2 linked regions of the Bombyx mori genome follow. The protein of the gene in region 2 binds, or shares a complex with, the protein of the main gene of each other region. Links are inferred from orthologs where the notes say so. Each region holds a gene or a part of one and is shown on either strand. Other genes may lie near its edges. The genes, in order: N6-adenosine-methyltransferase catalytic subunit and RNA-binding protein spenito.

The links.
Region 1: RNA-binding protein spenito (region 2) and N6-adenosine-methyltransferase catalytic subunit share a complex: the UniProt entries of both Drosophila melanogaster proteins name them as parts of the WMM complex. The link is inferred for Bombyx mori from reciprocal best matches to the Drosophila melanogaster genes nito and Mettl3.

What each region holds. Positions count from the first base shown.
Region 1 is NC_085126.1:4,836,183-4,840,705, forward strand, and holds the start of N6-adenosine-methyltransferase catalytic subunit, read right to left. Parts: upstream 3,086-4,523; 5' UTR 2,751-3,085; coding exon 2,567-2,750; intron 2,106-2,566; coding exon 1,913-2,105; intron 1,505-1,912; coding exon 1,374-1,504; intron 1,120-1,373; coding exon 1,028-1,119; intron 266-1,027; coding exon 139-265; intron 42-138; coding exon 1-41. Other genes in the region: NADH dehydrogenase [ubiquinone] 1 beta subcomplex subunit 9, read left to right, coding at 3,819-3,913. UniProt on the Drosophila melanogaster protein: Catalytic component of the WMM complex, a complex that mediates N6-methyladenosine (m6A) methylation of mRNAs, a modification that plays a role in the efficiency of mRNA splicing and is required for sex determination.
Region 2 is NC_085125.1:10,174,483-10,178,882, reverse strand, and holds the start of RNA-binding protein spenito, read right to left. Parts: upstream 3,113-4,400; coding exon 866-3,112; 3' UTR 1-865. UniProt on the Drosophila melanogaster protein: RNA-binding protein that acts as an associated component of the WMM complex, a complex that mediates N6-methyladenosine (m6A) methylation of mRNAs. M6a modification plays a role in the efficiency of mRNA splicing and is required for sex determination.

The sequences.
Region 1 (4,523 bases), on a different chromosome or scaffold from region 2:
CGCTCTGGTACCGTGCGGACAGAACTCCATTACTTGAGCACCTGATGACGGAATCAAAGGTGTTCTATGTTTTATTTTAAAATTTTCAGGTTTAAAACTTCAAATAGTTTTTAAAATGGAGTAGAAATAAAAACAAACCTCCTTGGCTTTTGAATTTGTCAGCTAAGGACCTCTCTTTAGCTGTGGGCTTGCTCAATAAATCCATTATTTCCTCACCGACTCTCTTCACTGCTTTCTCTCTACTTGAAGGCATCGCTAGGAGGGACTGAAATAATAGTGAAGCTTTTCATTACACACGCACGCACGCACGCACGCACACACGCAAACGCACGCACGCACGCACACACGCAAACGCACGCACGCAAACGCATGCACGCACGCACGCAAACGCACGCACGCAAGCACGCACACGCACGCACACGCACGCACACGCACGCACACACACATTATAAATTACAAATATTATTCATTAAATATTATAAATTAATTATTAATATTACACATTATAAAGTTAACTATAGAAAGGGAGACATTAATTTTGAATTAGAACAGCATCATCTCTCTCTTCAGTGTTTCAGTTTAAAGGATTTGACAGTTGTAATATAACACAGACTTCAAGTCTGGCTGAAGGTGTATGATTCCTATAGGTCTTTCCTTTTTTTTCTACCTAAACTGAGGACCTTGAGAGGCTATTTCAGCTTAACCCTAATAAGTAGGTGATCTCGCAGGGCTCAAACCTGACGACGTTGCTAACACTAGCCCTAGCAAGAGCAGTGCTTAGCAGAATTTACCACCTGATCGGAAATGCGACCCACTGAGACGATCCGGCGAGAAGCTCAGTGGGCTGTGTCTGTGGGTTAATTTACTCACCGAGCCCTTCATCACAAGCGATGGGTTCAACAAGAACAATGACCTATATATTTCCTGATGGTCATTTAATATAGTGTACTACCTATCTCTAACAATATGTATGTGAAATTGCACTATCAGGTTCAAAACAAGATTTGTGAGTTTATTTTATGGTTACCATAATATCTGTGTCGCTCTTGCCAGACTTCTTTTCCTCGGTGGACATCTTAGGAGCTTTTGTAATTGATGTATCTTCAATGGGACTCTCACCTGTCATACAGAGTAAAACTGCTGTTTATTCATGAATAAACTCAATTTAATTTTTATGACACTTCACAGTATTCATAATTGACTTTCCCACTTTGCTTTCTTTAGGTGATCTGTTCGTTCTAAAGAACGGTATGTTCCCATCACTTCATTCAACAGTTGTATTAGAACAAGATCTTTAAACCTATTTGGAAAGGATATCGTCATTATTTGTTTGTGGAGGCAAACCTTTTTGGAGATAAGCATTTGACATTCACCTTTTCTTTTGTTGCTAGTTGTCGTGGTTTCTTCTTCCATCAGAGCTGCAAGAACGGCCGCAAGCCTCCCTGACTCTGCACTCACTACCTCAACGTCAGCATCTGTTGTTACTTCAGTTTTTTCTCTTATACTGTGTAAAAACACAATAATGTAATGTTTGTTTTTGTTATACATTCCTTTCATTTTGTTTTTACATGTTCCCAAAGCAGTGTCGCATGTCTAAATGGCTATCATTTAAAACCACGACTCTTAAAATGATTAAAACACTAAACTCTCAAATATAATTAAAAAGTAGCTAATCTGTCTTTTTTTTCTAGTTTGTATCTCAATTTAATAATATTTTACATCTATTGTAATTAGTTGCTTCAAATTTTACATTTTATTTTCAAATAATTTATTCTTTAACTAGAACTGTAGCATCCAATTTGTAGATAAATGTAAATAAAAAATTAAACTGTAATTTGTGAACACTTTGGAAAAGCCTGGAATGACTTATTTTTAAACATAATATCAACATCCTGATACCTTAAAAACTTACGTGATCAACTTCTGTGTTGCAAACTTCTGTAACAGGTTTGCTACAATCTCCGTGTCCACATCTCCAAGTCCTGGTAGCAGAGCACTGGCAGTAGCAGGTAACTGCAATTGCATATCTGATAGAACTTGTAATAGACGCACTTCCAATGATGCTGGTGGAACGATTGGTTTTGACTTTTCTTGCAAAGTTGAAGCTGGAATAATAAATCATTGTATTTTATTCTAATAGCATTGGTAGAGACTAGTACTAAAGTTTGTTTTGCTCTTTGGTGAATTATTAGGTATTCTTATTTCGGCCGTGAAGCAGTAATGCGTTTCAGTTTGAAGGGTGGGGCAGCTGTTGTGACTATACTGAGACCTTAGAACTTATATCTCAAGGTGTGTGGTGCACTTACATTGTAGATGTCTATGGGCTCCAGTAACCACTTAACACCAGGTGGGCTGTGAGCTCGTCCACACGTCTAAGCAATAAAAAAAAAAAGGGAGTAAGATCTAAACTTTATACTAAAGTTTTTCCACCTGTGTTTCGGCTTAGTCTTCGTGTTTGCTTTACTACTTTCTATGATACTGTTTAGTACCGATACGAATACTATATTTTGCGAATTCGATATGCATTTTGAAAAGAATAAAATTTAAATCTACTTTATTTATTTACCTTCTGATTTTGAAGCCGGGCTACCAAGTGATCGATCTTTATTAGGAGAGGCATCAGATTTCTCGCCACTGACCAAACTAGAGCTCAAGATACTTTGGCGTTCCTTTTTTCGTTTCTCCAACTTTTCACGGAAACTTTTCCTTTTGCTTTTTACAGCTTGTATTTCCTCCCAAGCGTCCGACATAGTGAATATTTGTTTTTTTATTTTATGCCCTAGTAATGTGATTTTCACTGGCTATTTCATGGTTATTGGGATATTTTTTGTGATTTTTGAGATAATATTTGCTAATTCGATTTAATATTAAAGTAATAATCTTACTTAAACCAAGCAAATCTTAATCGCTGATTAAAAGTTAACTTATAAAAATTCTTGATACATAATGTACCTACATACTTTTAATTCATAAAATTAGGTTTAAGCGAGTTAAATAAGCTATTAAATCTCACAATTTTATTTGTCAAACAGCAAGTTTGATAATTTTTTTATCGGTAAGTACCATAGACCTGTCAAATGTCAATTGAGCCATTTGAGATTTTTTTTATAGATTGCGATACTTAGGGCAAGGGCGCAGCGACGGATCGTTTTTATAGCTTAGCGCTGGCTCTCGGTCGGGGGCTGCCTGGACTCTTAACAATTTATAATTAATAATTATAGAAGTAGAAACACAATCATAATTTGCATCTGTGCTTGAACTAGGTGATAAAACCTGTATCTTAAGTAAAAATACAATTTCAGTTATTTAAGTATGTTGATTTAATTAATAAATTAAAAATGTATAATTAATAAATGACCGGCGACATTCGGTTACTTATATATTTATGACGGTTGCTTTTAACATTCCCAATAGGCAGACTAGATTAAAATATCGATTTTATATACTATATTGTAGTGGAAAAAAATACGTAAATTTATATTTTATGGAATGTTAATGAACGCCAGCTAGAAAACTATTTAAACTAGTATCAAACTGCAACTTTGTGATTTGTTACTATTTAGGGTGTTTCAAAATCATGATTTGTAAAAAAACTATATCTTTGCAACAGCCGTAAATTTCATGAAATGTCAAGTTGGAAATTGCATTTAATCGCTTTAATTTGAAATAGTTCCAAAAAAATTAAGTATGGCACATTTGACGTTTAACAATAGGTCTGCATCAAATAATAATAATACACGTCATTTACGTATAAGTAGGTATCTTATTGTTTGACTTTATAGGTGCTTGTTTGTCGTTCGTTCTCTAATATTACAGAAATGTCTTTTGCTCCTGAACTTAGAAGCCATTCACAAAAAGTATGTAATTTTTACAAACGAGCCATGAGAACTCTTGAAGCTTATCATGTTGCAAGGTAAGCTTCTTCCGCATGTAAAATTTTATCTTCGGCGTATGTTGTTTTTCCGTATCAATTTATAGTAAGTTTTTGGCTTGAAAACGGTATTGATTCAATTTTATTGGTGGGTTCAGGTGCATCACTTTAGTTATTTGAATTTATTTGTGCGACCGCTTGTCGATAACTTTTATTAAATTAAACTATACGTAATTATTAATTTAAATTATTGCTAGATCATATTATTTGCACCATAATAAATCCAAACCATTTTCATGTCTTCATAATTTGAATGAGTTCCATACTAATGATTATACGACAACAGGGCTAAGTGCACACTACGATTAAAATTCGGTGCTAAAAAATATCGCAAATCTGTGAGCAATAGAAAAAACACTACAATCCGCGCTCTCCGAAAATAAATCGTTTGCGATGTACCGTATGAAGTGACACCAAATCCAGCGCATTGCGAAAAAATAAAAAAAAATCTTCAAACTTCTGTTACGTAGAAACAAGTACCGTACATAGTTTATAATTGTAACTTTCTTCTGTAAATCCATGTTTCCAATTTCCATGTACACTTATCCCCCATATAGATATAAGTAACTGCCTCTAAATTATTTTGCTTAGT
Region 2 (4,400 bases):
TTTTCGTATTAATGAATCACATTTATATTACATTATACCTTAGCTCATTTAGTGCATGGGATTTTTTATTTTTTATGTACCATACAACTGTAAGCATTAAAAAAATTCTATAAAGTTCAGAATTGTAAAGAACTATTTTTAAAGTACACACAAATTACCAATACAGTGCCTACTGTGTTGTGTGAAATATATCTACAGACTTACCCAGTTTCAGTTTTATATTATAATATGAAACACGTCAAATCACAAACAATACTGAGTCAACATTTATATCACCATATTTGTAAATTGTAGAAAATTTGTCTTCAATTGACTCTAAATTTGGTAATTTTACTGTTAAAACCACAACACACCACTGACTTGTTGTTCCACTGTACATCCTTTTATAATCATTTTTTTGCAAATTAATGGACATACCAAAACATAAATTCACAATACTTTTTTTTTTGGAACACCTTAACATCACAAAACCACTAATGGATCAACTGCACTGGATATGTCACTTAATCACAAGGTTTAAAAAAACAACTTTCAAAATTAAAATAATCTATTTGTTTTGTTCACACACTACACATCACCTAAATCATACACTGAATATTATACACTTAACTTTAAAAAAGTAAGATAAACTTCTTTTAGTCGGATATCTAGCTGAACTAGCTTCTATACTGTACATTTTCATCAAAGTTAATTCTGATCACTGTGAGAACACAGCACTGCACAAATATTTAAACTTGCACATCTTATGCACCTCACATCACACACATCACAAGAATATAAAGTAAAAAGTGTAGAACAAAAAACTTAAATTAAGAGTATATACCTACAAATAACAATACAATATACTAAAGCAGTGTTTGAATAATTAAGCAGTGCCACCTCGTACTACTACTATAACTAGGTGATCTTCCTTAAAACTCTCTTCAGTTAAATTGTGACACGTTCTTTTGAGAAGGTCAGTTGAAAATTCACATGGAGGGAAAGAATAAAGAACTCCAGTAGCTTCAGTCTCTTTGTTCAAAAGTGATATCACACCTGCTGCTTCTTTTTGTTTAAGATATGATACCAAATTCCTCATTGGTCGTGTTTGTATCGAAACATCTTCATTGGTGACTACAGCAGTAGAACCAGACACACCCACAAAAATGGCATGAGAGCTAGATGTGGCAATACGTTTTTGAACATCATCTAACTTAGGTTGATCCAAACGTAATCTTTGTGTGATTCTGAGCTGTTTTCTACCATCTTCATCTTTCATGAGACTATCAATAATTTCAGAGTCACCGTCTGTTAAATGCAACTTAGTAGGAAACAATGAATTTTTGAGAATCAGTGCTCCATGCCAAATTGTAGTTGCTTTACGAACTAATTCTGCCATTGTTCGTGACGAAGATAGCATCCCACTACTTCTACGCATTGATCCATCAGAGTCACTATCAGGTGATCTACGACGAGATCGTGAGCGTGACCTATCGACTCCAGGCTCCCTTGATCCAGAACGACGCAAGCGACTCTCATATTCTGAATCTAATGGAGCACGTCTCCATTCTTCGTCACGATAATCTCCTGTACCATGATAGACACCTCTGTAGGAGCCACGTCCACGGCCACGATGCCCACCTCTACCCCTATAAGTACCATAGCTATAACCATCCTCCCAAGAACTACCTTCATATCCCTCATATCCTTCAACAGGCCTACCATCTTCACCAACAGGTGCACTGTAAGGTTTAGGTCTATAGGGTCCACCTGTTCCAACGTCTGCGAAATCAATACGCAAACGTCGCTCCGGTCCCCCTAAAGGAAAGCCCCGCATTTCTTTGACAGCAGCTTGGGCTGCATCAATAGAGTCATATAAAATATAGGCATGAGGTTCACCCTTCACATATTCAATCTTTTTAATGGCACCAAACCTATCAAATTCTCTCTCTAACTGTGCTACTGAAGTCCATGGTCCCAGGCCACCCACCCAGACACGTGTTGTGGGTGTAGCTTTGCCATAACCTATTTTACATTGAAATTTGCCAATGTATTGGCCTGATAATTCAACTTTGGCTCTGTGTGCCATGTCCAAAGTTTGATAACGAACAAATGCAAAAGCATTTCCAGTACCTGGAGGAGGTCTTTTAATGTCAATGTCCTCTACTATACCATAGCGTCCAAAAATTCGGCGTAACTCTTCATCAGAAATGTTTATTTCTAAATTACCAGCGAAAAGAGTTCTTGTAGCTAATGGATCATCTTCAGGTTGAACATGGTGTAGGTAATTTGGAAATTTATCTTTTTTGTTCTCAATTTTCTCAAATGGAGGATGGTGAGGCCGGGGCATGTATGGACGTGGCATATAATGGGGATGTGGAGGGTGATGCATAGGTGGTCTGTGATGCATTGGAGGCCCATGAGGACCTGCCATGGGATACTCATGCATAGGAGGGCGGAAATCTCTATGGTGAGGTGGCACTGTAGGAGGGATACCATAGGCTCTCTCATCAGGAGGGGGACGACGTCTCTCTGGTACAGGAGACCAAGCGTATGAATAAGGGCGATCATAGTCAGGAGGAGTTATACTACGAGGCCTCGGTCTGTACTCAGAACGTACAGGTTCATAAACAGGATCAACAATAGCAACTTTATCATACAGTATTATCCTAGGCTTGGCATGTTTAGCGTCTCTCGCATCCTCTGCACTTCGGAAGCAGATGTAGGCTACTCTCTCATCCAACTCATGGGATATTTTTATACTAAAGTCACCATACTTCTTATATTCTCTATACAAAGTATCCTTGACAATCTCATCCGACGCTTTAGGGTGTAAAGCACTAACACATAGTACTTTGTAGTAGCTGCGGACAGATTCATCTCGAGCATCACGAGAACGCACGTAATCATCGCGATGAGGTGACACATATCGACCGCGCGGGCTAGGGGAGCGTACTCGACGTCGTACTCGTTCCGGGCTTCCACGCTCGTCAGAGCTATCGTCATACCTACCAATACTGCTGCGTGTCCGTTTTGATCGCGGCATACTATCACGCGACGAACTTCGCTTCATATTGCGAATTTTCACCGTAATTCGATCTCTATCTCTATCGCTACGCGGTAATCCAATCATGAAAGCTCACTTCGACGAACTACTATCTGAAATACACATCACAATATTACACGTCACTGTAAATTAGTTTTGGTCGATACAATAAAGTAACCCACTGATGCACTATTCTTACCCCAAACGAATTACAAACACTAATCACTCAGCAGATCACTGAAAACCTCAATCTTGGACGAACTAATTCGTATTATTAAGTAGACAATTATTTTAAAATAATCACGTTCACTTCAACTTTATTTAATGTAAATTTGAAATTAGAAGCGCTGATAAGCATCAAGAATATCGACCATTACATGGGAATCTCACAAAATGGCAGTTTGGCTGAGGGTTGCCAAATGTGATTTCTGAATTTCTTGTACATATTTCCCCAAATTATTTTGCCGTTTCTTCTGAGTTGTATTATGTACGATAGGTACGCTGTTTCGGTTCTGTAACCAGCTTTACGGGTAGCGGATTTTGTCCGATAAGTGTTTTTTGGGTCTTCATCGAGTTGATCTTAAAACCAACTTTGGCGCTTCCAACTATATATCGTCCAGTTTGGATTGCATGCAGACAACTTCATGATTAAAAAAACATTAGTCATCAGCATGGTCTAGACCATCCAATTCTTTGGACAACCCCCACATAACAAGTCACATCCATGCTACTGTCGAAATTGCTATGATTTAATTAACTAATTGTTGTAATATGGACTGCTAAACTGAATACTTAATAGAGAAAATTACTGATCTGTATCCCAAGAGAAGTAAAGCTACCTATGATCTGGACTTTTTGGCGGGAACGCGAGAAGTGAAGTTGTGTGCTTTGTTTTATTTAATAGTGTTTCTTAGGTTTGAATGTGTAATAACGTGGTTTATTAACTATTTAGTATCTGTGAAAGTGCACAAATGGGAAAATGAAACAAAGCCACTGAACGTAACTTCTCGGGATCTTCCAAAAAGTTCACTGAAAAAGTCTCAGCAAATGACCCCTATTTTACTGAGATTATACTTCATTCCATATCATCTTATCTCATTTCATTTCATTTCGTTTTCATTTCATGCCATGTATAATAATAATCAACTTCATTTCATTTCATAATATCATTTTTCATTAAAAAAGCTGTCATTAAAATTAAAAAAAGACATGACCAAAAAGTCTTAGTTACCAGATCATAAAATCACTTTAAAAAAATGCTACCAGTGTAGTACCGTAAAATGGGGCGATTAGGGACAAATTCCAACTTTATGAGCAATTTTATGGTAGTTGTTGATGTATATAATGCTATATCAGGATCAAAATGATTGAGTCT